Linked DNA regions of Struthio camelus. The protein of the gene in region 3 purifies or fractionates together with the protein of the main gene of each other region. This does not show direct contact. Links are inferred from orthologs where the notes say so. Each region holds a gene or a part of one and is shown on either strand. Other genes may lie near its edges.

Evidence for each region.
Region 1: the proteins of MED4 (region 3) and ARHGEF7 purify together in Homo sapiens (affinity purification with mass spectrometry; 3 studies listed by BioGRID and IntAct, with this or other methods). This does not show direct contact. The link is inferred for Struthio camelus from reciprocal best matches to the Homo sapiens genes MED4 and ARHGEF7.
Region 2: the proteins of MED4 (region 3) and POLR2J purify together in Homo sapiens (affinity purification with mass spectrometry; 3 studies listed by BioGRID and IntAct, with this or other methods). This does not show direct contact. The link is inferred for Struthio camelus from reciprocal best matches to the Homo sapiens genes MED4 and POLR2J.
Region 4: the proteins of MED4 (region 3) and MED9 purify together in Homo sapiens (affinity purification with mass spectrometry; 10 studies listed by BioGRID and IntAct, with this or other methods). This does not show direct contact. The link is inferred for Struthio camelus from reciprocal best matches to the Homo sapiens genes MED4 and MED9.

The regions. Positions count from the first base shown.
Region 1 is NC_090942.1:158,295,186-158,302,060, forward strand, and holds the start of ARHGEF7 (rho guanine nucleotide exchange factor 7), read right to left. Parts: upstream 3,001-6,875; 5' UTR 2,788-3,000; coding exon 2,623-2,787; intron 1-2,622. UniProt on the Homo sapiens protein: Acts as a RAC1 guanine nucleotide exchange factor (GEF) and can induce membrane ruffling. Functions in cell migration, attachment and cell spreading. Promotes targeting of RAC1 to focal adhesions. May function as a positive regulator of apoptosis.
Region 2 is NC_090957.1:14,405,060-14,412,073, reverse strand, and holds POLR2J (DNA-directed RNA polymerase II subunit RPB11-a), read left to right. Parts: upstream 1-4,456; 5' UTR 4,457-4,553; coding exon 4,554-4,606; intron 4,607-4,769; coding exon 4,770-4,859; intron 4,860-5,005; coding exon 5,006-5,180; intron 5,181-5,944; coding exon 5,945-5,980; 3' UTR 5,981-6,500; downstream 6,501-7,014. Other genes in the region: ras GTPase-activating protein 4, read left to right, coding at 50-167, 291-444, 545-609, 1,022-1,134, 1,234-1,426, 2,077-2,214, 2,462-2,606, 2,681-2,850 and 5 more; LRWD1 (leucine-rich repeat and WD repeat-containing protein 1), read right to left, coding at 6,638-6,778. UniProt on the Homo sapiens protein: Core component of RNA polymerase II (Pol II), a DNA-dependent RNA polymerase which synthesizes mRNA precursors and many functional non-coding RNAs using the four ribonucleoside triphosphates as substrates.
Region 3 is NC_090942.1:192,114,145-192,121,242, forward strand, and holds the start of MED4 (mediator of RNA polymerase II transcription subunit 4), read right to left. Parts: upstream 3,005-7,098; 5' UTR 2,871-3,004; coding exon 2,776-2,870; intron 836-2,775; coding exon 769-835; intron 425-768; coding exon 254-424; intron 1-253. UniProt on the Homo sapiens protein: Component of the Mediator complex, a coactivator involved in the regulated transcription of nearly all RNA polymerase II-dependent genes.
Region 4 is NC_090956.1:3,992,656-4,000,627, forward strand, and holds the start of MED9 (mediator of RNA polymerase II transcription subunit 9), read right to left. Parts: upstream 3,003-7,972; coding exon 2,830-3,002; intron 1-2,829.

The DNA.
Region 1 (6,875 bases), about 34 Mb from region 3:
CCCTGGCCCAAGCGGGGCTAGCTCCGGGAAGCTCGGAGGCCACGAAGCTCCAGCTTTCCTCCCACTGCTCGGCTGAAGCAAGTCACCTTCCCGCCCTGGCGGCCACCTCAGCCCACATGCAAACCCCTTCCTCTCTGCACCACCAGGTCCATTAAGGCATGGACAGACAGACCCCACTGAGCCCCCAGCGCAGACCCACTGACAGCTCCTTGCACACCATACCAGGAGTAAGGTAGGCTGGGGGCAACCATGTCCCTGCACAAACCCTGTGGGCTCGCGTCAGGGAGCGACCCCTACCTGAACATCAAAGACATCAGTCACCCTGATGTTTAAAAAAAAAGTGAAATGTACATTAACAAACTCATTTACATTAACAAAGCCATATATATACCATACTCAGGCATGCACACTGAGTTGGAAAACACTATTCTAACACTATTCGGTTCACTTATTTCCATCAGGCTCTCTTTAATTATTTTGTCATACAGTTACATCCTGTCTCCCAAGTTGAGTTTGGGCTCCCATTTCACTAGGCTTGGCATCTGCACGCAGGGAAATACTTTTTCTGCCCCAAAGTTTGGAGTCCAAAGCACTTTCGAGACTTACTCGAGGCTGCGCACACAGAGGACTGGTAAGATGTTGTGCTGAGACTTAACTGTGTGAAGACTTGGTGCTAACCAGACGAGAGCGAGCCTGGGGGAAAGGGAGCCGCGAGAGACCCTGCCTTTGCAGCTGGGGACTCCTGCTCACGTAGGTAGCCGGGATGGCTGAGCCTGCAGCCCCACGTCCTCCCTGCTGCCAGATGTGTCACCCCGGGCAGCCGAAAAAGACATTTCACCTGCTCCGGAGCTGCAGTGTGCAGGGTACTGAATGAAACGGAGAGCAGTTTGCACCTTCCCTACCCGAGCTGTGAGCGCCCCAGGAGCAAACACATGCCTCTTCCAGCTCTCTTATACAAATAGCAACTCCTGGGCAGAGCAGTGAGCAGGGGACAGCAGCGGCTTTGGGCGTCCCAGCTGGCTCCACCTGTCACCATGCTGGAGCCCGAGTCACCTACGCTCACACCACGGCCGATACGTCGTGTCCGCTCCTATCGCTTGGATCCATCGACAACACCCTGAGCTCCCCAGTGGTTTCTCTATCCCTGTATTGTCTCCAAGTTAGCTTGCAAATTTTGGGGGGCAGGAACGGCCTACTCAACCCAGGGTAGCAGGACCCCCATCCTAGGCCAGGATCTCTGGGCCACAGTACACCACAACACAAGAACCACTTCAGCATGTAGCAAATTCAAGAACTAAAGGGAGATAACCAAAGCCAGTGCCGTGTCCAATGCCCTATTTAGCTCAACGTACCAGTTTTCAACTTTGTGGGTCAGCGGGCTACTTTTAAAAGAGCCACCAAAGGTAATGAAAACCTACTGTCAGCAGGCTTAAATGTCTGTAGTGGCAAGGTCTGCAAGCTGAAAAAGTTCAAAAATGCAGTATTATTTTCAGGCAAGGAATTTTCCTGTCAACGTAGCAGATGACCTTCATTTATCTTCTCTTCACTACCTTGCGTGGTTCAAAAGGAAAGTTTTGCCACTACACATAGTTCAAGCGCATATGTTACAGAAAAAAAAAATATATATATAACCATAATGTATATTACATTGTTGAACGCTTCCTCCAGCATGCAGAATGAAACACTGGGACACTGAGCCCAGGTGAGACAACTGCATCATTCCAAATCTCAAGGTACAGTATCCAAAAATCACAATTCACTACATCTGAACTACAAAAAAAAAGAATTATGTATGCATACACAATACATGAAAGTTACCTGACGCACTATATTTGTTCAAACACAACACAGAATAAAACTGTGTGTGGGTTTTTTGGTTTTTTTTTTCCCCCAAATCTCAAAAAGATGAGATTTCTCCACAGGCTACAAAGCACTAAAAAGACCTAAAACAATTCCGAAACAGCCCACACCAAAACTAAGCGTAGCATCACAAAACCTCCTTCAAACGTTGAAAGGGATGAGCTGAATCACAGCCCCAAGCGAGGTGAGACACTGACTATACCAGCAGTTGGGGAGATAAGTTTTCAGCCGGCTTTACAGCATGGCAGAAAAGGTCCAAATCTCAAAAACGCACGTTCAAATTGAAGAGTGAGGACTATATACTGAAGTTGTTGGGTTTTTTTTTTTTTGCTTTTTAGGGTTTTTTGGTTTTGTTTGGGGTTTTTTTTGTTTGCTTTTTTTTTGCTTTTCTTTCTCTCCGTGTGAAACACTTGCAACTCCGCGGCTCTCAAGGGAAGGAAGCCCTTTCCGGGGAGGCTGTGTGCACCCCTAGCTGCCCCTCTCCCTCGGCTCTACCCGGCACCGCCGCGGGCACCGGGGCTGCGCGCGGGGCAGCGGCGCAGCGCGGCCGCCCGGGGCTGAGCCTTCCTCGCCCTCCTCCTCCTCCTCCTGCCCGCCAGGACTTTGTCCTGAGCCGCCGCCGCCCCGACGCGGTACCCCGCGGCCCGGCAGGTCTCCCGGCGAGGGGAGAGACCGAGGCCGGGGCCGGGGCCGGGGCGGGCGCGGCCGCACAAAGGGCGTCGCGGGGGCGAGCGAGCGAGCGGGCGGACGGGGGGCACTTACTTTCTCGATGGTGCCGGGGAGCAGGCGGTCCAGCAGCCTGCACAGCACCACGCCGTCTTTCAGAGACGACTGCAAAAATCCCTCCGGGTCCGAGATGGTCTTTTTGGGCGACTCCAGCACGCCCAGGGTGATCAGCCACGTAACGGTCTGCTCCGCGGAATTCATGGCCGCGGCCAGGAGGAGCCCGGCTCCGGCGAGCAGCGGAGGGCGAGGCGGAGGCAGCGCACCGGCGAGGACACCCCTTTTTTATTATTAAATCTTTTTTTTTTTTTTGGATGCGTTCCCCCCCCCTCTCACCCCCAACCTCTTTTTTTTTTTTTTTTCGGGCCGGGGCTTCAGGCGGAGGCCGCGGCGGCCGGCGCTGCCCCCGCCTCCCCCATGTGAATGCAGATGACGACGCCCCTCGCCCGGCCCGGCCCCACCGCCGCCGCCAGACGCCCGCCAAGCCGCAGTGCCGCCCCCCGCCGCCGCCCCATGACATCACCGGCGGCGGCGGAGGCGGCGGCGGGGGGCGGCGCGCCGGGGGCGGGGGCGGCAGGCAGGCAGGCAGGCAGGCAGGGGGGCGCGGGCCGGGCTCCGCCGCCGCCCCGGCCCCAGCTCCGGCCCCGGCCCCCGGGGGGCGGTCGGCGCTGCCCCCTAGCGGGGGGCGCCCCGCGCCGCCGCCGCTGTTGCCGCGCCCGAGCGGGGCCCGGTGTGGGCAGCCCGTTAGAAGGAGGGGAAAAGTCACCGGCTCCCCCTTGTCGGGCGAACGGTCCAGACAAAAAGAGCAAAAAAAAAAAAAAAAAAGCGGTTTTCATCATAGGCCGAGGGCGAGCGTTTTGGTAAAATCTCCTTCTAGGAACGCTTGGCAGCGTCTCCTTGGCCCGGCCGGTCCCGTTTGCACATCCTTCGCCTCTGCTTGCAGTTTGCACGAGCGGCGACGCCAGTTAGGAGGAGGGCGCGCGGCGGCTGAAGCGCTGGCTCGCCGCGCCGCGCTCCTTTCCAGCCATCATGTCTGCGGCTTGCCATATGTTTCACCGGTTCACTCTCGGCGAGTTTCCACAATCCTAATTTATGGCAGCGCTTGAGAAGCCAACGTAAAGACTTAGAAATATCGGGAAGGTTAATCTGAGAGAACTGGCTAAAGTATCTGTGTCCTTTCTGGTTTTACTCCAGAGAAACCCGTTCCTTAAGACTTTGCTCAGATGAGATCCTATTTGAAACGGGCGTTTTAGTATGTTCAGATCAGCCGTGCGCTGCCCAGGGGAGGCAGAGCCTCCCTGCCGCCATGAGCATCGCCGCGGTGGCACGTGCGCGGCGAGACGTGATGCAGCAGCAGCAGCCGGGCTCCCGCTTCCCCCTGCTCGGGGTGCATCCGCATCCGACCCACTCGAGGTGCAGAACAATGCTAGATAGTATATTTTCAATACACAACTGTTTCCTCTCTCGTATGCAAGGTATTACCAGCTGTTATATACTGCTGCAGGTTGTTTCCAACTTGGCTTTTATGCGGACCAGGAAGTAGCTGTACTGGCTTGGGGGGAGCTCTCCTGGTTCCCTATCCCGTCTCTGACTGTGCGCCGGCTCTAGCTGCTTCTCCAAAAGACATAGGTGCCTTTGGATTTGAAAAGAGATGATCTGACTCCAACATTAAATCTCCTAATCCATAATATCAGCAGCTTTCCTTAAACTTTGACACATAAGGTGTAATAGCGCTTCCAAAAGTTGATAGCATTAATCATTTGAAACTTTTGCTTTCCTGGTTGCCCCTTCACTATACATTTTGAGCAAAAGCTTCCTAGCAGAGAGTTGTTCGGCTACCAGTAAAAGGACAGCAACAACACAGCTATTCGTTGCAGTCCCTTGAGCGGTGTGGATGGCCTAACTGGAACTCTTCAAACTTGCCAACGGCAGAGGAAGAGTTCTCAAATCTTCAGAGGAAAAAACTGCCCAAAAGATTTTAGGAGTATGCCCAAGTCTTCCTGGATTCCTTTCTTCTCAACCTTTCCCTGACAACGTATCTAATGCAAACCATCCATACTCTTTGCACTGCTGGCTTGTTTTGTCTCCTGCGAGCCTCAGTCTTGCCTGCTTACATGGCAGGCTCCTAGGACTGACCGCTATTTTGCATCTGCATCGTCTAGCAAGGGGAAACCTATACTGTGCTGGGAGGTTTCAGGTAATGCAAATGATGAAACATATGATTATTACTAATTTTTGCTCCTTTCTCATTTGTTTCACCATTCAAGCTGTTCTGATTATTTTATGTCTAGAATTTGGTTCCTTTTTTTCTTCAAAATAAATTGTAAGCTGATAGTAAATTTTATTTAAGCACTCATTAGGGTAATATTTAAGCAATCTAAAAACCTCCTGAAGGCATCAAAATGTATGGTTTTAACCGCCTTTTTCTATAAACCATTTTTGAAATATGTACAAAACTGAAAAAAAAATCATTTTGGTATTGAATTCATACATGCAGGACAGAAATGGACAACATATAGAAGCCTGCAGGTGTTAAATATCTTTGCACAAGCAAGAGTATTACATTTTGGTTTGGGGGAGACTTAATACCTGGGTATTACTAACTGAATTAGATTGGGCAGAGATCTAGTAGATTTTAGAACACATCATTTTCAGTAAATAAAGATTTGACAATCTCTTTGGACTTTCACAAGCTTTTGTCATACACTTACAAGAAGTTACTAAGGAAACTAGGTAGTCATGAGGTAGAAGGTAAATTCTGCTATGGATTGGAAAGTGGTTGAAAGGCAAGACAGGCAGCAGAAATAAACTGTCAGTTCTCAGTCTGACAAAAAACTAACACTAGCAGTATTTCTTGTGTTCTGTAGTATAAACTGAGTTGGCAGTAGTATTTGCCACTAATTGAAAGTGATCAAGTGGAAATTGTACTTCTGCATTTTTATTTGGTCTTTTAGCCCATGAGCAATGTTTTTTCAGAGGAGGGAGAGAAGAAAGAGAGCAAGGAAATGGCAGGCGAAGAAAGCTTCTGCCTCTTCTTGGATGCTCACTTCCCATTTTTCATTTTCAGTTATTAATACCTCGTCTGTCTGTTTTTGGAGCAGCAATGAGGTGCTTTGGCCAGATATGCCACCCTCTGCTTTCCTCGTGCCAAAACAAGGTCGTGACTTTGATGGGCAGGAGACTAATTAACTATCAGTCCGGTTTAAACAGAAATTGCCTTGGCAGTCAGTAATTAGCCACATAGGGGTCATACTGGATCAATTACTGATCGGGGATTCCTGTGCAATAAGTAGTTATCCCCATAGTTTGAACCTAGGGAAGTTTATATCCCTCTGAGAAAAACCTCGTCCCAACAAAGCTTTTGTATTAAGCTCGGAGATATATTTCCACGTGTGAAGATGGTGTTTGTGAAGTCAGGAAGCAGCTGCCTGAGCAGCATGGTACCAGCGGAGGTAGAAATATGGAGCAGAGCAAGGTTGTACATGGATAAAACTATGTGGTCACATTCACTGGGTTCCCGCTGCAAACAAGAGGCTGACAAAGTGAGAGGAGGCTCTTTGAGAGCCACCAGCCTGTCTCTCCATCTCCTCCCAAAGCGGCCCCTTAGTAACTAAAGGAGCACAGGAACCTGCAGCAGGCACAGAGGCAACCAGCCAACCTGAGCTACTCTTCTCCCAAAACATCCATCTTAGCCAGGGGGCTAAGGTTACACTTTCCTCTAGCCTAAGCTGTGCCTTGTTTTCTAGTGAGCGCGTGGAAGAGGGAGAGGTGAAGGACGTAATAGAAGAAGTGGATCAATCAAATAAAATAAACATGAAAGGAAAACCAGATAGGAGAGACGAGTGGAAAAAGAAGACTAGTGAGGCAATTATTTAATTGTCTGTGAAGTGCCAGAGTGTTTTAATAGGCAGATGCAAAAAGCTCTGGTCCCGAGAAGCTTTTCAACCAAGCATAAATAAACATAAAATGAATGGTACCTTACAGAGTGTGGCTAAAGTGCTGATGCAGCAGCACCAACGTGGGACTTTCCGAGTAGGTATTTGACATTTGGGCGCAGGCAGCATGAGGCTCAGGTACCTGGAAACTGCGTGCTCAGCTCTGGGGCAGTGCTATGGGTGGCCAAGCAGCATGGAGAGGCTTAGGCAGCTGTGACGGGGTTCACACGTGCGCTAAATGCAGAGATGCCCAAGCCTGCCCCTATAAGAAAATACAATGGAAAAAAGTGCCTCTGCACATCTCTCTTTTATGGGGGCTGCAGGCACCTGGCCTAAGGATGGAGAGAAAACAGGGAT
Region 2 (7,014 bases), on a different chromosome or scaffold from region 3:
CCTCCTGCTCTGGGAGGTGCCTCTCCATCCCACACTTGTCCTGTCGCAGAGGCAACCTGGGATCTCTGCAGCTGCAGGTGCGGCTGCGGGACGAGACGGTGCTGCCCTCCAGCTGCTACCAGCCCTTGGTCCAGCTGCTGTGCCAGGAGGTGAAGTCGGGGCCCCAGGTGAGCATTGCCCCTGGCCGAGTGTGCCCCACGTGTCCCAAACACGTCAGCTCCTCCCCAGAGGGGGGGGGGGGTAATCTGCTTCCCTAGTGCCATCATGTCTTCATCCCTTGTCCCCACCAGGATGGCAAAGTGCACCTGATCACCCTCCTTGATGAAACCACCACGGCCGAGTGTCGGCAGGAGGTGGCCATCAACCTGGTCAAGCTCTTCCTGGGCCAGGGGCTGGTCAAGGAGTTCCTGGATCTGCTCTTTGAGCTGGAGCTGGCAAAGCCGTGTAAGGCTGGGAGCTGGGGCTGGTGCGGGGTGGCCGCAGGGTGGGTGACACCTGCCTGTCGCTGTCCCTGACATGCGACCCTCCCTGTCGTGTTTTGCAGGCGAGCCCAACACTCTCTTCCGGAGCAACTCCCTGGCCTCCAAGTCGATGGAGTCCTTCCTCAAGGTGCTGCGCGCTGCCCCCGGCATGGGAACGTGCTCTGCCCCCCTGCTGGCCCGCCGGGCTGCACCCTGCCTGCGGCGGGCCCCTGCTGGGAGCTTTGGGGTGAACCCCAATATTTTCAGGTTGTCCCAGCTCCATGCTGCCCCTGCTGGTGCCTGTGTCACCCCCCGCCCTGGGAGGGGGGTTGGCTCTGGGCAGGAGGGATGCCCGCAGGGATCCCTGGCCCTGGCCTGCAGGGATGCTCGTTGCTGGGCGGGGATGTGCCAGGAGGTGGCTGGAGGCTGCACAGAAAGAAACAATCAAAGTAACCCTGGGCGGCTCTTAGCAGGGGGATTTGGGGTGTCTGTAGCGGGTGCCGCTGGCAGAGTGGCAGTGGTGTCCCCAGCACTGTGTCCCCTGCTCTGTCTCTTGCCAGGTGGCCGGGATGCAGTACCTGCACGCTGTCCTCGGGCCCACCATCAACCGGGTGTTTGAGGAGAAGAAGTACGTGGAGCTGGACCCCAGCAAGGTGGAGATTAAAGACGTTGGGTAAGGGGCAGCGCTGCGGGATGCGGACGGAGGGGGAAACGGCAATCTCCCGAGGGCCCCCCAGCCCCCGGCGGGGCTGACGGCAGGCTGTGTCGACAGGTGCTCGGGGCTGCACCGCGTGCAGACGGAGAGCGAGGTGATCGAGCAGAGCTGCCAGCACCTCCAGTCCTACCTGGGGGAGCTCCTGGCCGCCATCGCCAAGTCGGCCCCGGCCTGCCCCGCCATCGTCCGCGCTGCTTTCCGCCAGCTCTTCCGGCGCGTCAGGGAGCGCTTCCCTGAGCACCAGCACGAGGTGGGCAAGAGGGGAAGGCCCTTGGGGGGATGATGGATGATTCGGGGTCCTGCTCTCCCTCGGGGGTGGCCGCGCTCTGCGCCAGGAGCCTTGGCTAAGGCTTGGCATGGGCTACGGGACCCCAGGGTTCCCCTCTTCGGCAGGGGTTGGGTGCTTCCCACTGGGAACGGTGCATGGGGAAAGCAGGGCACGCAGCACCGAACTGCAGCTCCCAGGAGGCCCCACAGCAGTGGCTCAGAATCATGAGACTTTCTGCTTTCAGTTTATTTGAAAATTGGGGAATTTCCCTTGGAGATTCCCAGGGGATGGGGGACTGGAGGCATCGCCCCCCATAGCTTGGAGGCCCTGGGGAAGATGGGGCTCATCTTTGCAAGGTGAGGCTCTTTTGGCCCTCGTCACCACAATTTCACTCCCACCCTATTCGCAGTCACATCCCACATAAATATGGGATTCCTGCTCGTGCCGTGGAGGCAGCTGCCACGGCCTCCCCGAGGCACCAGTGAAGGAGCCCTGGGAATAAATCAGCATGTGCCCTGCCCGGGGAATGTCAGCCCTCGTGTGTTGTGCCTTCACACGTGGCTCATGCCCTCGTGAACATGTTGTATGCCTTGTGCCCTCATGTGCGTCCTGTGCCCCCTGCGTGGCTGCAGAACGTGAAGTTCATCGCCGTCACCAGCTTCCTCTGCCTCCGCTTCTTCTCACCAGCCATCATGACCCCCAAACTCTTCTACCTCCGGGAGAAACACGCCGACTCCCGCACCAGCCGCACGCTGCTTCTCCTGGCCAAGGTGGGATGGGGACACAGAAAGGGTCCCTGGCACCTGCTCTGGGTCACCTGGGCCTGTTTGGGGAGGGGTGGAAGGCTAGGGTCCTGGTGCTGTGTCCTCCTGGCCAGGGTGCTGCGTGGCCCTCCTGGGGTTTGCTGAGTGCCCAGCCGCCATGTCCTTGCGGGGCTGGCTGGTGAGGAAGGGCCAGGACACCTGGGGTCTTGTGTGGTGCCTGCAGCTCTGACTCCGCTGTCCCTCATGGCTCCAGGCCATCCAGATCGTGGGGAACATGGAGGCGGCAGCAGGCCGGGCCAAGGAGGCCTGGCTGGCCCCACTGCAGCCCGCGCTGCAGCGTGGCGTCACCCGGATGAAGGACTTCATCACCGAGCTGGTGGGCATCGAGGAGAAGGAAGGTGAGGGAGGTGGCTGTAGGGACGGGCGCAGCCCTGCGGGCTCCCCCTGACAAGCACGGGGCTGTTCCCCACAGAGCTGGACTTGCAGAACGCCCTCACCCTGCAGACGCTGGTTGTCAAGGAGGGCCCACTCTTCGTCCACAAAACCAGGGGCAAGGGGCCGCTGCTCTCCTCCTCTTCCAAGAAACTGCACTTCTCCCTCACCAGTGAGGCCCTCAGCTTTGCCAAGACCCCCAACTCCAAGGTATGGAGGGACGTGTCTCAGTAGGGCTGGCGTTGCATGGGAAAGGTGCTGGCAGAGCCATGGGCCCCATCTTGGGGACGTGTGCCACCCTGGGGTGCTGGGCTCTGCATTGCATGGTGGGTCAAGGCTGGCGATGGCGACGTGGCAGTGCCCCATAGCTCCCTCCCTCCAGTCCTTGGTGGCTCTCAGGTGTCTCCAGAGGCTGCAGGGAGGGTGCTGAGCCCCACTTTTCCCTCCATCCCTGGTGACAGAAGAGCAGCTCCATCGCACTGTCCAACATCCGGGCAGCTGAGAAGGTGGAGGAGAAGAGCTTCGGCAGCTCCCACGTGATGCAGATCGTCTACGTGGACGAGGAAGGGCAGCAGGAGACGGTGTACCTGCAGTGCAAGGTGGGCGTGGGGGGCCGGGGCCGGGGCCGCCGTGCACATAGGCCCCCCCCCCCCCCCCCAATCACTGCCCCGTCCCGTCCTGCAGTGCGTCAACGAGCTGAACCAGTGGCTCTCGGCCCTGCGCAAAGCCTGCGCCAACAACCCCGAGATGCTCTGCTCCTACCACCCCGGCGTCTTCAGAGGGGACAAGTGGAGTTGCTGTCACCAGAAGGACAAGACGGGTATGGCGGGGCGGGCAGGGGACGGGGGCCGGCCGGGTTCCCCGCTGGGGAGCGGCGGGGCCCGAGCGGCGGCGGGTTTGTCCCCTAGGGCTGGGCTGCGACGCCAGCCGCCACGGCGTCACCCTGCAGGAGTGGAGCGACCCGCTGGAGCCAGACATGGAGGCGCAGCTCATCTTCCGCCACCTCTGCGGCCTGCGGGAGCCCATGAGGTGCGGCGGGGGCCAGGGTGGGGGGCTGGGGGGCCACCCACTGCTTGTGGCTTCATCCCTCTCGCTTCAGGGAGAGGTACCGGGAGCTGCTGGAGGCCCAGGAAACCCCCAATGGACCCTGGAGCCGCCCTGAAGGTAGCGTGGGTGGTGGGGCGGCCATTTTGGGAGGGAGGGACCCCCCCCCAACAACCTGTGGGGGGTGGGTGCCAGGGGAAGGGGTGCTTCAGGGGGCCGCCGGCCTCACTCTGCTCGTCCCCCTCCACAGGGGGGCCGCTGCCCGAGGGGCTGGGCCGGCTCCTGGCCGTGCTGGGGGACCTCGAGGGCTGCCACTGCCGGGCGCACCCCGCGCCCGCCCCCGGCCCCCTCCTGGAGCTGCAGACCTGAGGGGCCCCCCCGCGCCCGGGGACGCCGCCACTGAGGGGCACGCGGGGCCTCCCCGCCCCGCGCCGCCACCGCCAAGGCAATAAAGGCTCCTCGCACCCTGCGCCCCGTCGTCCTTCCTCGGCGCTGTGGGGCGGCGGGGTGGCCCGGGGGGGGGGGGGAGGACTGAGGACAGGGCGGGTGGCCGTGGTGCCATCGCTGATGGCAGCACTAAGGGCGCTGATGGTGACATCACTGGTGACGCCATCTGGCATGGCTGGTGGCCCGGGGGGGGGGGGGGGCATCGCTGGCGGTTCCGCGGGCGCTACCGCGGCTGGCGGCGCTGCTGGGGGCACCGCCGCCGACGTCACTGATGGCGCTGCCGCCGACGTCACCGCGGCGGCTGCGCGGAGCCCTGCGGGGCGCTGGAGGCGGCGCCGCCGGAAGCGGGAGCCGGCGGCGGGCGGAAGTGACGCGCTGGGCGCTGTGGCAACGGCGGGGCGAGCGGCGGCGGCGGCGGCGGGATGAACGCGCCTCCGGCCTTCGAGTCCTTCCTGCTCTTCGAGGGCGAGAAGAAGTGAGCGGCGGCGGCGGGAGGGGGGTCCCGGGGGCCGGGCGAGGGCGGCTCCGCGAAGGGAAGCCCGGGAGGGGGAGCCCGGTGCCCCGCGGCCCGGCCCGGGCGGGCTCCGCGTTGGGGCGGCGCCGGCGTTGACGGGGGTGTGTGTGGGGTGTGCGCGCAGGATCACCATCAACAAGGACACGAAGGTGCCCAACGCCTGCCTCTTCACCATCAACAAGGAGGACCACACGCTGGGCAACATCATCAAGTCGTGAGTGGGCCGCGGCCGGGGGGGGGGGGGGGGCGGCCGTTGGGGCGGCCGGAGACGCTCGCGGCGCTCAGCCCGGTCGGGGGCTGCGGCGGGTCTAGCGGGTGCTGGCAGCAAAGCATGGCTGCCCACTGCTGCTCCCCTTCCAGGCAGCTACTGAAAGACCCGCAGGTGTTGTTTGCGGGCTACAAAGTGCCGCACCCGCTGGAACACAAAATCATCATCCGCGTTCAGACCACGCCGGATTACAGTCCCCAGGAAGCTTTCACCAACGCCATCACAGACTTGATCAGTGAACTCTCCCTCCTGGAGGAGAGGTTCAGGGTAAGCTTGTTTACTTTAGCTTTTATTCTATTTATTACTTGCAGAAAGCTCACCTGCTTGAAAGTTAAATGGAAGGGGTAGTGTATGTTAGAACTGCTGCCATTTTTAGGCAATGAATTCATCAAAGCTACGTGCAGCAGCTCATAGCACAAACAGCTCCTGTCAAGGGATGGTGACGTCTGGCCGCCCTTACGGGGCAAGGGGGGAGAGGGCGGGGGGGGGGGGGGTGCGCTGGCATACCCTACAAGAGTTAAATGGGTGCTTTGTCTTTCCTAGTTGTCCAGTATTGGATTTCTCCCAGTTTTATTGGAATGGAAAACAATTCTCTAGTTCTTCCAAGTCCCCTTTTTTTTTTTCCCCCCCCTTCTGCCAAAACTCTTTCAAGGGACAGTATTTGTTTTTAATACTTTTTTGGTTAATTGTGCTCTAATGTACAATTCTATTTTTTTAGCCTCAGATCTTTTTTAGATTTAATCTAGCTGAAAAGTATGTCAGACAAAAGCAGGGAGAGCTTTGAATAACGTAGTATATGTGTAATATTCTTTGATATGCTCATAAAAGGTAACAGTGCACTAGGAATTCTTTTGCCAGTATGTTTTGATTTTACTTTAAATATTATTTAGCATGTGGCGCAGAGATTTCCACTGTTTCGCAGTTGTTCTTGTGCTTCGCAGAAGACTGATACCTATGTTTAAAATAACTTCTTCCATCTCGGTGATATTTTTTGTCTTAGTGTCTGTATTTTTTTTTTGTTTGTTTTACAGGTTGCCATTAAAGACAAACAAGAAGGAATCGAATAAAATTATCATGTTTAGAATGGACTGTACCTCTGGTATAGAGTGATATGGCTATTAGTTGAATGCTTTATCTGAACCGTCATTCATGGCAAAGATTTTCTACTTGTCCCACTCGTCGTTTAATTCTTGAAAGTAGTCGCAATAGTTTGGGGCTTTTTTGGGTCCTATGCCAAGAGGATTAAAGTCTTGTTTGATTTGATGGATACTTCATTAAAATCACTTTTTACTTTTCTAATTGGAACCATAAGGCAAATACTTGTACTAGGCTGCTGGCAGGGGTGTATGTTAGCCTAGTGACTGTACTTCCAGTGTGAGAAGTTCCTGAGTGATAGGGGTGGATGAACTCTCTTAGCACAGCCCCAATCCTATATATATATATGTGTGTGTGTGTGTGTATATGTTTTTCAAAAAGTCTTTGCACTGCCAACTGAACTGGTATTTTGTTTTATTAAGTGTCAGTTCTATAAAACAAATGCACAAATTGTGAAAACTTACAGTAAAAGAAACTGGATGTTTACAATGACTTGAGGAGTTGTAACAAACTCTTCCCTTTTTCTCTTGCATGATAATAGCTGGTCTAGAAAATATGGTTACATGGGTAACAGTCACTAATACTGCACTATTTCAAAGCACGGGAATGAAACTTTCCATTACAAGTAACTATGACTTCTTCCAAATGGCTGTTATGTTCACACTAGTTAGAGCAACAAGGTAAGTGAAGGTGGGGTCTGTTATCACATTGTTTATTAGGACTTCAGTCAGCTGCTCCCCATTTGCTCGAAGCTCTGGCCATTTGAGAATCTAGGAAGAGAACAGAGTTTTTGTGGGTTTTTTTTCTTTCTTTCTACACAAAGACAAAAGGAACAGTATTGCGTCTGTAACTTGGAGGATACTAACTACTGCACGTCCTAGTTTGACAATTCGTTTGCTGTGGAATCTGCTTCCAGCACAGTGCTACATCTCTACCGACCTGGGGAAGCTGACTGGAAGAGTCCTTCCCCTTTTTCATGGCAGGACATACACCTTTATGATGTTCC
Region 3 (7,098 bases):
TGGATAAACCATTCAGGGAACATTTTCAAAATATATAAAAGTAAACTAGCTTTGGAAGAAAATTAACATTGTAAAACAAAACTGAATGCCCCGATAACTAAAAAGCGTTTGCCTACTGAAAAGAAAAACTCCGCTAAGCGGTTGTGAAGTTTTAAATATTGAATCTTTTCAAACTAACACAACACTGTTTTCTCCAGAACCACCTTTTTCAGAAGTAGGTGCTTAAAAGCAAGCACAGCACCTTTGAACTTACCAGTATGTGCTCTGCTTCTTTTAGTTGCTTCTGCAGCTGCTGAATATCACTATCCCTCTTTTCTACTACCTTTTCTAAAAGCTGCATTTCATGATGAATTTTCCCCTGATCAACTGCCAGCTTCATTAGCTCTTGAAACTCTCCATCCCTCTGAATCAGCAGCTCCAGGATCTGTCAGACAAGAGTTTCATAGAACTTTTAATTTAGTCAGAGTAACAGCATACCCACAATTATGCAGCAAGGAAGAACAACTGATATCTACATGAGTATTTCTGTTTGCATGCCAAATGAAACAAACTTCTCGCTCTGTTTGCAGAAACAACCTATGAAGCATGCAGTAAAGAAAATAAACAAAAAAGCACCACAAGGACCAGGAATATCATTTTAGTGTGGCCAAAAACTCATCATCATCATTAGTCTAAACATACGCAGGGACAAGAGAGGAAAAAAAAAAGAAAGAAGTAAAGTAGAACATCTGACCACACAAAGAAATACTGTTAAGAAAGTTAGTTTACCTGGCTTTCTTCTCCTGGTTGCGGAAGCTTCTGGTTTCTTGAAATTGCCAGTATTTCAATTAGTTCTCTGAAAAGAAAACTGTGTATTTATACAACTTGCTATGCTATTTTTTCTATGCTATTTACAAATCAGACTAAGTCATCCCAAAATTTTCAGAGTACTGACAGCATTACAAAAGTACTCACATGCTTGAGCATTTTGTAGTTTTGTAGCATAGCTGTGTCAGGGATTTCTCAACTTAGAAAGAAAAAAATGTGCTCAAATCATGAGACTATTCACATAATTATTTTTTCTCCTTTGAGCTCACAAAGCGAGCACAAATGCACATGAGCAAGAAACGTGCCAAACTGAAAGAGACATAAATAGAAGCTGGGAGAAGAAAAAAGACAATGAAATACATTCGTGCTCTAGTTTTATCACCCTTGTTTATTGCAAGAGAACATGAAAGTATAAGTTGTTATCATTATTTTACTTCTCTACTTTTTCTCTGTTTTTACAACAGAGCAAGTTTCACACTTGGGTTTAGAGCAATTAAACCTACGCTTTCAAACATTTAAAGAGTTTGTTGTGAAACTATTATTATTATAAAAACAAGTATTCTCACAATGGTATATCAGCTGTATATCAAATACATACAAAAATATGAATAAACTAATAATATTCTGGGACTAGGTTAGAAGGGCATCTCAACTAAACCTCTTGATTGTGCCTCCATATACCCGTTTACTTTGCCACCATTATGAAAACCTGTCAGTAACCTCTAAAGGGACTTGCTAAACAACAACACCATGATGCAAAAAGGCACTTGGTGTAAATGGGGCAAATATGTTTGGCTTCTAATGACATGGGCTGAAGTTCAGTGCTGTGCATGTATAAGTTTATCTGAAGCAGGCTCCTTTGCTCCTACCACCAAGGCAATATCATGACTGTGAAAGGTCTAATGCCATGGTGCTTCAACACTTTGCTGATTAACAGGAAGATTCACAAAAATATTGCTGAGGGATGCTCTGGATTCATTATGATGGAATCTTAGTCCCCCTAAAAATCAGTAAACATTTAGATAAAGAGCAAAATGTTTTTTCCTAAAACAGCAGATGTTCTCCCCCATTCCAGCAACCCAAAAGTCACAACAAAATCTAAAACTGAAAATAAAACCTAACTAGAAAGAAGAAGAGCAACTGGACAGTATACTGTCCTTGTCCTACCTGGGGTAATCAGAAAGAGCGAACCAGCCACATGAACACTTTAGATTGCTCCCTGTGAAAAAGTTTTCCTAAGCTCCTGCTCTCCTTGCGAGGAAGAAGATAATTAGCAACCAGTTTCACTGCACTGCTAGCTGGGACTCCCACAACATGGTGGACAGCTTGGATGGGGAGCTGCAGTCCAGCCTGAAGAGCGCGGGCTACCTACTTGAGCATTTGCATCACTCCAAGGACACGCTTTACAGCCTGCTTTGACAGAGTTGAACTGGTAATGACCAGAACGGCTTAAGTCGTGCAATACCATCTACAGAGCTCTGACATATGCGCCGTTTTTCAGTGAATAATAAAACGCTTCAAACCTCTTCTGTGAAGGGGGGGTGGGGAGACTGTCTCAACAGGAAACGCAGGTGACAACCAAGAAAGGAAGGCAAGCCGAAGAATAAGGAAGCTGCCCGTTCTGCTCTGAGAACACGGAATACGAGGAAGCGTCTCCGGCGGCGCCCCGGCGGGGCAGGGGCCCTGCAGCAGACGCAGCACGCACCCCGCTGCCCCAGGAGCCGGCCTGGAGGCGGTGCCGGGGCGGCGGCAGCAGGAAAACGCAGGGCCCCGTGCCGCCCCGGCGTTGGGGTCGGGCTGATCTCCCCCCTCCCGGGCCCCCTCAGCCCCCGGCGGCACCCGCCCCGGCTTCGGCTCGCCGGCGCCGTCCGAGGCTCCGCGCCCGTACAGCGCCGAGCACCCTCTGGCCCATCGGCCGCCGCCCGAGCTTGGCGCCGTCTCAGCCGGCGCGCGGCGGGAGCGCGGTACCTGGCCAGGAGCTCGAGATCCTCCAGCGCCGCCAGGAGCCGGTCCCGGGTGCTGCTTCGGTCCCCGCCTCCCCCGGCCGTCGCCGCCGCCATCATGATCCCGGCTGCGGACCCGAGCGAGAACCGGCGGCGGCACCAGGCCCGCGCTAGGCGAGGCGGCAGCGCCCCCCTCAGCGGAGGTGCGAACTGCAGCCGCCCCACCCCCACCGCCTCCCCGGCCAGCGCATGCGCAGTGCGGGGAAGGGTGGGGAGGGCGGTTCCTTCCCCCTCCCCCTCCTCCCCCAAGCGCGGCGGGCGGGGCGGGGCTGAGGGGTGGGTAACGGCTGCCGTGAGGCGAGGCGGGAGGGCGGCGCTGGCGCTGAGGCGGGCGCTGAGGAAGGGCCGGGAGGGGGGAAGGAGTTCAGCGGGGCTGGCTGGGAAGGGCGTGTGGGTGTGAAGGAGAGGTGGTCTCGTCTCCCCCGTCTGCCCCCGAGGCAGTGTTTGTAAACGACCCCCTGCTGGAGCTGGGCCGTTACTCAAGGGTCAGGACTTGTTGTTTTACATGCGTTTCCAGTCCCCGGGTTTTGACCGAAGAGCCTCTCGGTGAGACTCAGATGTACCCTGCAGACGGGGAAAACGAACCCAGAGAGAGGGCTTGCCATTGAACAGCGTCATAACTTTGTTAACTCTATGCTCTCTGACACCCAAAAATCCCTTAGGTGCTTTTTTTAGTTGGAGGCAGGAATCGCGTTTTCCTAATGACTTAAGAAAACTAAGTGATAACGAAAACGTAACAAAACCCTAAGCTTTAAATCGGGCAGAACCCTGAGCTCCTACCTGGGTTTTGTGTCAGGCAAGCAACGAGGCCTCACAATGGCCAACCAGAAGCATGACTTGCATGTGCAGACCTCTAGGTGCAACCTAAAGGTGGCTTTGCATGAATTACAGGGTGCTGCATGCAGCGATCAGCTGGTGGGGCAGTTAACAGATGCAAACCCTGCCCTTGAACCTGCAGACAATCGAGCTATATTTTAAAAATACCATTTATTTTTAAATGTTGCTGTATATGGTCTGATAACTGCAAACCGACCCCTAGCTCTGGGTGGGGTCACAGTGAAGCCAGTGGAATTTCTGAAATTCATGAAACTGGCAGTAATGTGAAGAGATAGAGGCTGAAGCTAAGGTGGAGGGCAAGATCGGAGAGCACAGAGAGAAAGCTAATCAGGGACCGAGGTTTATAATTCTGTGAGCACTTCCACTGAAAAACGTGGAGTCCCCAGACTCCGCCATCTTCTGTTGTCAGCAGGCAGCTGCAAAAACCCCTAGCAAACAGTGATTCTCATCACTCTTGATTAGAGAAAGTAGTAGATAGATGATAACATCTCTGACTGCTCTGGTGTTTACTCTGATTATCTTTTTACCTACTGCAATAAGTTTGTCCCTGAGAAATTTACTTATTAAAAAAAAAAAAGGAAAGGCAAGATGCTCGTTAATCAATGATTCTTTGAATTGTGGTTTAAGAAATCAATTGAACATTACGGGATTTGTAATAAAGTAATGAGATTTGGCAACCCCAAGAAGAAGAAAAGTCTGCCAACAGGAGTTTCTTAAAATTCATTTACAGTATACAACAGCATTCAAAGTTCCAATCTGTAGATAGTTTGGGAACTCTCTTTAAACTATGGAGCAGAGAAAATCTCATCAAATAGTTCTACACTTTTTTGCTTGCCCTTTTTTTTTTTTCAAAAATACAGTATTATTTCCCTGATTTTGTTCAAGAAAAGATGTAATCAGTGAAGCTGTCTGGTTGTGCCTCCAATTCACTGATTTGTTACAATGTCTCCATGGGTGTGTAAACAGAAATAACAACTTTGGAAAATAAAGCAATCCTCTAGAGTTGAAAATAAAACAATCCCTCTGCTGAATTATTTTCTTCCCTCACATTCATTTTTTAACATCTGAATTGGTCAGAAGTATTGGAGTACTTCTAAAATATTTCAGGGCTGTACTACTAGTTTCACTAGTTAAAAATTTATGGCATCAGCGGGATACCCAAACTTAACAGCCCAAAGGGTAAATATCGGTTGTAGGAGGTTGCTGGAGGCTGATCTTTGCCTCCCACTCCTTATGTCCAAGGAGCTGCTCTCTCGTTCCTTTTGACAACAGTGCTTTTCCCACCCAACCATGCCAATACCCCACAATCTTTCAGTGCAGCAGCTGCCCTCTTCTTTCCCCTTCACAAACTGCTGACCTTCATCTATGCAGCATGGACATCTGACTGCTTCTTATAAAGTCTGGAGTCCATCCCCACTCATTCCCCTGGAGATGCAGCAGTGGCTGTGAAGTGCAGGCCCCTTGGCAGAGACTTATTTGTCCAAATTGATGCTCCTACTTCTGTGTAGGAGGATAGGATGAGCCTCAAGGCCTCAGGGAATGCCTGGCTGTGCAGAGACACAGAAAATCCTTCAGACTATGTCGGAGCGGTCGTCTCCTTTAGGACTAAGGGAGAGGCTGGGTCAAATAGGCTTGTGCCCCAAACTTGGCTCATGGGCCCATTGGGGTAAGATTGAGTGGCTGATTTGCTGAATTGACTTTTGAAACACTTACCCGGACAAAGCAACAGAACCTCTGTTTCCTCGGTTCTTCAGTGCTTTTGGTTTTCTTTCCCCTGGGTAAACTTTGTCATAGATGGGTTGGTTTTGAGCCAGATATACGCCTTAAAAGCCTATGCCCTTCCTGAATAACTAAGCATTGTTGCCTAATTTGCTTTTAGTAGTCTGAGAACATTTTAAGTTGTGCAGCCGTGACTATATCTTTCCATTCACAGTGAGATTATGAGACGTTTCAGATTCTCTTTGATTTCAGATTGTCTTTTTAATGGCACATTGATCACAGTATTAAGAATCTGTTAGCACAAGCAAAAATAGCTTGCTTCATCCTGCTCAACTGAGTTTTATCTGTTCTAGAATCAACCTTTCGGTGATGATCTGCTGAGCAAACTGATTTCTACAGCTGCAGATCTATGAAGAGCTGATCTGATCTAAGAGTTCACCAGCTCTGAAAAGCAGATATGTTGCTCACTCCTCATCTCCCAATCGCAGATGGTTGCCCTCCCTTACATCCTTCATCATCATATGCTTCCATGAGCTACTTAATAACAAGACAGAAAAATACCTAATGTTTTTGTTGGGTTCATTTCCTTCTGGGTTAATGAGTGAAATCTGATCGTGGAGGGTCTTAACAGTCAGGAGCAGAGAGGAGAAGAGGAAGAGGGGGTGTTCCCCACATAAGTGTTAGGTCACCTAACCTCAACTTGTGGAACCATACCTTCTGAGTACAGTTTTAGGGTGCACCTAATACAGTATGACTGGAGGCTAATGCTGAAAAGTGCAGTCTTCTCCATCTCTCTTCAGCCATGTATTCTGTCTTCCTCCCTCTTACATGAGATCCTGTACAAGTGAGACTGCGGAATGAAACAGCTGGGCAAACCAGTTCAATGGAAAATGCTTCATATTTTTTGGTGGATTTGTCTTCTGTCAGATGAGCTCATTGGAGCAACTGACTTCAAGGCTAACCATCGCTAGATCACTAGACACAAGGGAATGTGTGGCCAGAGGAAGGAAAGCAGGATGCTACTCTTATTTCTAGTTAAGTGAAATTCAAGCGTAGGATTCATCTGATGCAAAGCCTTTTTTTTTCAGGCTACCATTGGGATTTCCTAATTCCTCATCTTATTACCTTAGCTAATCATGAAGTAGAAGTTTGTCTTAAAACTTAGATGTTGAACCACAGAGAACTTCAGAGCAGATATATGTTTTAATTTCAGTCTGCGTCTTTTCCAGGCCACTGTGCTCTTCATCTAGCTTGTTATTTATATGTTGCAGACACTAACCATCAAGTGTTTAGCTGGTAGATGTTTGGATACCACACCTTAAAATAACAATGGACTATTGAAGATAACTTAAATCCTGAAGGCCCTCAGGTGTCTGACCATGGATAATAAAACACTTCAAACAGTACAAGTAGAAAGGCAGTAGGGTAATCAAGGGAAGCAAGTAGGAAAAACAACAGAAAAAGTACTCCTATCCACTTCCCCTCGATAATGTAAAAATAAAGTCCTTTCTGTCAAATATCAACTGAAATAGAAATCAAACATCTTGAGCGCTGTTTGGAAGGATGCCACCGTTGTACTTTGGCCTGTGGAGAAGAGAATAATCATCCCGTGTTTGTCAAGCTGTCTTTACACCATTAATATTTTTAAATGCCTCTGAAAAATCATCTGTATCTTATTGCTATTTTAAAAGACATCTTTTTTTTTCCATGCTTACATATGTTGGGTAGCACT
Region 4 (7,972 bases), on a different chromosome or scaffold from region 3:
ACTGCAAAATGCTTAAAGGTGAACCTCTCTCATCTTTCACATACGCTTGATACCAAGTGAAATATCAGCAGGAAACTCATCCCTACCAAGTGCCTAGGTGAGAACAAGGAGCTGGCCTTGGTCGGACGTTCACGGCAGAGAGCCATGCTCCCACCAGGAATTCAGATAGACATCTCTAAAGGGGTTATTGCCCTGGGGCAGAAACCTCCTGGGAACACCACACCCCTCAGGACCCATGTACAAGTACCTTTTACCCCTAAAACTGATCTTGAACCAGGAAGAGAACAATTCAACCTCCACCACTGTAAAAGCCTTCTTCCTCTTTACAACACCCTAGAAATGGACTGCATTTCTGTGCTGGGACTGCCTGTACTTTCTGAGGCTGTTATCAGCCAAACAGTAGAGCAGTTTGGGGCAATAACACAGCACCAGTCCAATGCTCTCTGCTCGAGGGTGTATAACAACGGGGCAGCGTACCTGGGCCATCAGAATAACCTGCATCGCCTGGATCATCCGTACGCTGCCATGTACTGGCGTGGCTCACCACGGAGCCGCGTGTGGGACTACGCCACCTCCCTGTAACACCTTCCCCAGCAACCCCAGTCAGGAGAACAAGGGGGTCTGCAGCAAAGGAAACGCTGGGGGCGGTCAAAGAGTATCACTGTGGGGAAGGAAGGTCCCACTGCCCTGCTCCCTGTCCAGGGCGCGCAGGAGGAGGCCGCAATCGGGAAGACGGAGAAGGGCCGGAGCAGGGATAAGGCACCTGGGCAGAGGAATGGGGAGCAGGCCTGGTGCAGGGCTGCCCCTGCAATGAGGTGCCCGGTGACAGGCCCAGACCCAGTTGCCCCCATGATGAGGGGTGCCTGATGACAAGACCAGGCCCAGTGTACCCACCACGAGGCATGTGGTGACAGGCCCGGGCCCGGTGCATCCACCATAAGGTGCCCAGTGATGGACCAGGCCCGGACCCCCATGACGAGGTGCCAGTGACATGGATCGGGCCCAGGGCCCTGTGACGAGGCGCCGGTGACATAGACTGGGCCTGGGCCCTGTGACGAGGGCTTGGTGACACAGACCGGGCCCAGACCCCCATGACGAGGGGGCTGGTGACACGGACCGGGCCCAGTGCACCCACCATGAGGTGCCCAGTGATGGACCAGGCCCAGGCCCCCATGACGAGGGACTGGTGACACGGACCAGGCCCGGGGCCCCAGGACGAGGGGCTGGTGACACGGACCGGCCCCGGACCCCGTGACGAGGGGTCCGGTGACACGGACCGGGCTGCTGTGATGAGGGGTCGGTGACATGGAGCAGACCCCCGGGACGAGGCGCCGGTGACACGGACCGGACCCCCGGGACGAGGGGCCGGTGACATGGACCGGGCCCAGTGCACCCACCATGAGGTGCTCAGTGATGGACCAGGGCCAGGCCCCCATGACAAGGGGCTGGTGACACAGACTGGGCCCAGATCCCCGGGACGAGGGGCTCGGTGACACGGACCGGACCCCCATGACCAGGGGGCCAGTGGCATGGACCAGGGCCGGACCCCCGGGACGAAGGGTCGGTGACACGGATCGGGCCCGGACCCCCGGGACGAAGGGGTTGGTGATACGGACCAGACCCTCGAGACCAGGGGGCCGGTGACACGGACCGGACCCCCATGACCAGGGGGCCGGTGACACGGACCAGGGCTGGTCCCCCAGGACAAGGGGGCCGGTGACACGGACCAGGCCCAGTGCACCCACCATAAGGTGCCCAGTGATGGACCAGGCCCGGGCCCCCATGACGAGGGACTGGTGACATGGAGCAGGCCCGGACCCCGTGACGAGGGGCTGGTGACACGGAGCGGGCCCAGGGCCCCAGGACGAGGGGCTGGTGACATGGACCAGGCCCCCATGATGAGGGGGCTGGTGACACGGACCAGACTCCCAGGACGAGGGGTCGGTGACACAGACCAGGCCCCCGGGACGAAGTGCCGGTGACACGGACCGGCCCCCGGGACGAGGAGCCGGTGACACGGACGGGGCCCGGGGCCCCATGACGAGGGCTTGGTGACACGGATCAGACCCCCGGGACGAGGGGGCTGGTGGCACGGACTGGGCCCAGTGCACCCACCATGAGGTGCCCAGTGATGGACCAGGCCTGGGCCCCCATGACGAGGGGCCGGTGACACGGACCGGGCCCAGGGCCCCACGACGAGGGGCCGGTGACACGGAGCAGGCCCAGAGCCCCCACGACGAGGGCCGGTGACACGGACCGGACCCCCGTCACGAGGGCCGGTGACACGGACCAGGCCCAGGGCCCTGTGACGAGGGGCTGGTGACACAGACTGGGCCCCACGAAAAGGCGCCGGTGACACGGACCGGCCCCCGTGACGAGGGCTGGTGACACGGACCAGGCCCAGGGCCCCGTGAAAAGGCGCCGGTGACACGGACCGGACCCCCGTGACGAGGGCCGGTGACACGGACCAGGCCCAGGGCCCCATGAAAAGGCGCCGGTGACACGGACCGGGCCCCACGACGAGGGGCCGGTGACACGGACTGGGCCCCGTGACGAGGGGCCGGTGACACGGAGCGGGCCCAGAGTTCCACGACGAGGGGCCGGTGACACGGACTGGGCCCCGTCACGAGGGCCGGTGACACGGACCAGGCCCAGAGTCCCACGACGAGGGGCCGGTGACACGGACCGGACCCCCGTCACGAGGGCCGGTGACACGGACCAGGCCCAGGGCCCCATGAAAAGGCGCCGGTGACACGGACCGGGCCCCGTGACGAGGCGCCGGTGACGGACCGGGCCCGGTGGCACGCGGGGTGGCGGGCCCGCCGTTACCATTTGATGATGTCGTGGACGAGCGGGAGGAAGGAGAACTCCTCCTGCCCGGGCGGCGGCGGCGGCGGCGGCAGCAGCGGCGGCGGCAGCGGCAGCGGCGGTTTCGGCTCGGCCGGCGGCTCGGCCGGCGGCGGCTCCTCGGCGGCGCGGCCGGTGCCCCCCCCCGAGGCCATGGCGACCCCGGCCCCGGCCCGCGCCGCCGGCGCCGCGCGTGACGTCACGGGGCGGGGCTCCGCCTGCCCCGCCCCGCCCCCTGCCCACACTGCGCATGCGCGGCCCCGGGGCGGGCGGTTGAACCTGAGCTGCGGTGTGAGCCCGGGCCCGCGGCCGAGGCCTGAGCGTGGGGCTCTTCCCGGGGCCGGGGCCGGGGCCGGGGCCGGGGCCGGGGCCGGGGCCGGGGCCGGGGCCGGGGCCGGGGCCGGGGCCTGAACCTAGGGCTCTCCCTGGGGCCGGGGCCGGGGCCGGGGCCTGAACTTGAGGCTCTTCCCTGGGCCAGGGCCGGGGCCTGGGTCTGAACTTGGGGCCGGGGCCTAAACTTGCGGCCAGGGCCTGGGTCTGGGGCCAGGGCTGAGGTCTCAGGCCTGGGTCTGGGCCTGACTTGCGGTGTGGGTCTGGGCCTGAACTTGCAGCTGGGGCCTGGGATCTGAGGCTGGGGGTGGGGCTGGAGCAGCAGCTTTGCCGCACCGTCACTGAGACGGGCTGTGGGCTGCTGCGCGCCTGGCCGTCCTGCGAGGCGGGTGATACGGGGTGGTCCAGCAGGAGAAGGCTGGAGCTGAGCTGTTCTCTCCCAGCTGGGGGTGCGTTGTCCTGCGCAGGACCCAGCTCTGCACAGAAGGTGGGAAGCTGGAGGAAGGACAGAGTGGGGGATCCCGTAACCCAAGGGCGAAGAGCAGGAGGGGGTCCCAATAACAGCATGCTGCACTGCCCCCAGGGGCAGCTCCCAGCCCCTTAGCGAGAGCAGTCTGATTTCCTGAATCCCTGTGCACATCCCCCTCTTTTGTATTAATTCTTAGAGCAAAAATTGCATCATTCTCCATAGAACCAATAACTATTGCAGTCCTCAGGACAGCAGGGTTTGGCTGTGTCTGGCTAGCTTTTTGCACTAATGCTAGCATTTTGCACTGCTTTTCATTACTTGGTATCCCTGGCTTGACCTTTATTTAACCGGAGACAAGTTGTCGAGGCGGTTGAGTGGCTGGGATGCGGTCTTGTAATGCCTTAATGGTACTTTGATGCTACTGGACTTTGTGCCTTACGGAGGAAGCACAGGTTACAATCAGTTGGAGGGAAAGAAAGCTTGAATATTTGAGATCCTGGTGCCTACACCCCTGCAAGCCCCTGTTTCTCAAAGACTGAATTAAAGTTTAGCCTCTGGGGCAATGGCTGCATCGTCACGAGCAAACTCTCATAGGCTTTCCTCCTGGTTTGGTTAAAATGGGCTTAAATTAAGGAGTCTGAGCTAGAGCCAGAAGTCTGGTGCCAGGATTGGTAGAGGGAGAACAAACTGGGGTCTCGTGTGATGGACCTGTGGGTGAAAGAGGAGGCTTGAGATGGCACGTGGGTCTTGAACCCGTGAGATCTGGGATGGTGCATCAAAGGGATGTGGAATTTGCCTCATCAAGCTGCTGCAAACTGCTTTTATACCTCTACATCAACATGAAGAATTACAGCCCTAATAACAGCAGCCGCAATCATGAGTTTTCCTTCCTGAACTGGCTTAGGAAAAATGTATAATTTCATTTTTCATTTGAAACAGGCCCTCGTGCTCATCAGTTATGGGCTGAGGATGACTAGGAAAGCAATTTTCTTTCTTAAACCAATTTATTTCTAAAAGCAAACAGAAGCTATTTATATATCAAATCAGAATGCTGGTAACCGTTCATACACGTGGAGTATTGACTGTTTGCTCTAAATATAGCAGATGCAATCGCTCACTTTGTTCCTGCCATCAAGAATAGATCCCGGTTTGGGTGCTGATGCTGGAACGAGCGAAGGAGCCGCGGGGAGCTAAGGGCCCTGGCCCTGTAGAGCAGATCCCTGCAGGAAGGGCGCTGCGTTTTACCGTCCTTGGCTCTGACAGCAAGAGCCAAGCAGGAGGTACAGGATGCTGCGTCTTTCGCACTGCACTGGGCACAGAGGTTCATTGCTGCCTATTGGTGTATGGGCTATTACAGCGAGATTTGGCTGAGGCTCTGGGGGGGGGGGTCTCCTTCCTCTGTGCTGTGCTGCTGGTTTTAACTCTTCCCCCCTGACTCACGGAGGAGCGTGGCTAATTGCGAGGCCGCTGGCCCTCTGCGTTTGGTGGTGAGTCAGGCAGTCGTTAGAGCAGGTGACGACATGCCGACACCTTCAGCCGGAACTAAAGCGCTGTCAATCAGCATTTCTTTGTGCTGTTCAGTTCCCGTTTTTGTTTGTGTGTTCTCGCAGCAGCTGTAGCATGCAGCTTTATCTTGTTGCCTTTAGCCCCTGCCCTTGCCTGTCACCTTCTCTTTCTCGTGGGAACCCAGCCCTGCGCGGCTTCTCTGCCTCCCTTGGGTGACTGATCTCCGTCCTCGGGGCCTTGTCGTGTCTTGTGGCGAGTAAGGGGGAGAGCGAAGCGGTTTTGCAGTAGGGAGGTGGTCGCACTGGCTCCCCCATCCCTGAAGATATTGGTGAATTAATTGGGTGACACTGTGTTGGCACGATTTGAGTGCCAGCCTGCGCAAGGCCTCTTGCCCATGCGGTGACTGATGGGTGTGCGTCCCTGGTGAGGACTGCAGGAAGAGGTCAGACCCAGCCGATAGGTCTGGGAGAGAAGGGAACACAGATTTTTAGGCATGGAGACAAGTTTTGACCTCAGCCGTGGAGGAGTGCTGGTGTGTCTGAATTCTCAGCAGTCCTTGTGGAGCTCCAAACTGTGAGACCCTTGTCCCCACGGAGCGACTATTTGGTCGTTTGGGTTATGTTCTTGCAATGCTGTTCCCGATAGATAGATGCTGCCAAAAACATGGCCTTTACCATCCACATCACTGAAGTCCCAGTGGGCCCTCTGTCTCGGTCTGGCCTTCCTGCTGTTCTGCCCACGTGGAGCCGGCGTTGGTCTGCGGTGGGAGCTGGACTCCCTCGTTTCCCGTGGGGTTTTCACCTGCTTTCAGATCCTCAGCAGAGAGGTTTGAGTGAGCAGCCTATGAAAACTCGTAGCAAAGCATCTAGAGCATAGACAAAGATACTTAGCGGTGGATGAAAAGGATAATTTCCCCCTAGATTTGGTAATAAAGCTGAAGTGCAAGTGATTGTCCTATTTTTTTCTTCTGTATGAATTTGATTGTGGCTCTTTGTATAACTCACCTGCCAGGCATTGGTTCATGAAATGTGAAAATGTCTCCAAGCCATCTGATCTTCCAGATCTTAAACCACTGTGTATGTTCATTTCTTGCCCAAACATTTGATTAGCCTATTTTCCCGAAAACCAGCTGGTCAAATAAACCTTATCTGAAGCCTCTTTTGTTGTTGCCTGTTTTCTTCCCAATATCAATATTATTCTTTCTGTCATTTCTATACAAATTGCACCCTTTCCCTGCTTCCAAAGGTAACTTCTTTTGGATTTACCATCAGCTACTTAATTCAGCGTCAGTCAGGTGCCTGTGCATCTCCCCGAGGTTTTGTTACAATGACTTGACATGTATATATTGATGGCTTGGCACTTCACCTGGCTCTACTTCTCGCTGCCGGGCCATCTGGAGTTTGTTGGGCCGTTGTCATCAGCTCTGTTATCATTTTTTACTATATGGCTATCACCAGGTTGAACTTTATCTCTTCCTCCTGCCCCAGCACCCCATTGTCTGCCTGAATTTTCTGTTTAAGGCTTTGTTAAGCTGCTGCTTTGGGATAAGTCTCAGCGATTCAGAAATTGCCAGGGGCAGAGGGCTGCGCTGCGAAGTCAGGAAGGTGCTGCCAGGGTTGCAGCCGCCTGGCACCGGGCGATAGGAGCAAAACGTTACAGCTGCTGCCGGCCTCTGGGAAACCTGCCCGGCGTTGCGGTCAGGAGCGCTGGCCCTTTCCGCTAGGTCGTGGCTGTGATCCTGTGGCTGCTGAGCCGCCTGGCCCCGATCCCCCTAATTTTGCCCGGCCAGAGATGCTGTCGCGGGCTGTGCCCTGCCTCGAGCGCTGCCGTCGGTCAGGGTCCATCTGAGGGGCCCTGGCGTCCCTCGGGAGGGAGGTTTGCTGAAGCCGCTCTGCGAGACCCTTTCCACCGCGGCTCGTAGATGCGGGCGCGCGGAGGCAGGAGCAGGGCTGCTGGGCAGGGTGCAAAGCCGGAAGATGCAGTGTTTTAGCTGCAGAGAGTCAGGCACCGGAGAAGAGCCTGGAAAAGAGGCGGCACAAGTGGTTTGGGCCAAGCTCCTCGCGGCTCTGGGCTGCCCGCCGGGGCAGCGGGTCGGCGGCCTGGCGGTGAAGGCCAGCGCCCTGCCGCAGGAGGCTGGGGACAGAGCGGGGACGAGTCAGGGGCGCGGGGAGTGTCCAGCCATCGCGTGACGGTCACTGCGCGCCGCAGGGCCGGCCCGGGCGGCAGGCCCAGCTCCGAGGACACGGCGAGGGCCGAGGGCTTCTTACGCAAGGTCGGCTACACGGAAAAGCAGATCCAGGAAAACACACGGTCCGACAGCCGGAGTCCCCGGGCACGGCAGGCTCGGCGGCCCCGAGCACACAGCCGGCCACCGCGCTGCCTTGCCTCAGTTTACCCCAGGCATCAGCTGGGTCGCGATCCCTGCCTGGCTCCTGGGGAAGAGGGGTGACCCGTTCAGGAAGCAAAAGGAGCCGCATCCGTGTGACAGCCTGGCTTGCACCCGCTGCGGGCTTGGCTCAGCAATGGCACTGCTGTTATTTGCAAATATTTGCCTCTAGCTACAAAACCCCTGAAGCGGAGGCGTTTGGTGCCCTCGGCCTGCAGTCGGGGCCGGGAAGCAACATCATGAGAGCCTGCAGCGGCGCTCAGCAGCCGGCCGGCTCGAGGCTTGCTCCGCCGACGCTCTCCGGGCGCTGGGAAGGTGATGGAGCAGACGGCGCATGGCTGGGCGGCCCCGGGCGCGTGCAGAGGTGTGCGCGGCCACACGTGTGTCCCCGGGCACGTGCCCGCGTGGCTGCCGGAGTGCGCTGCCCCGCGCGC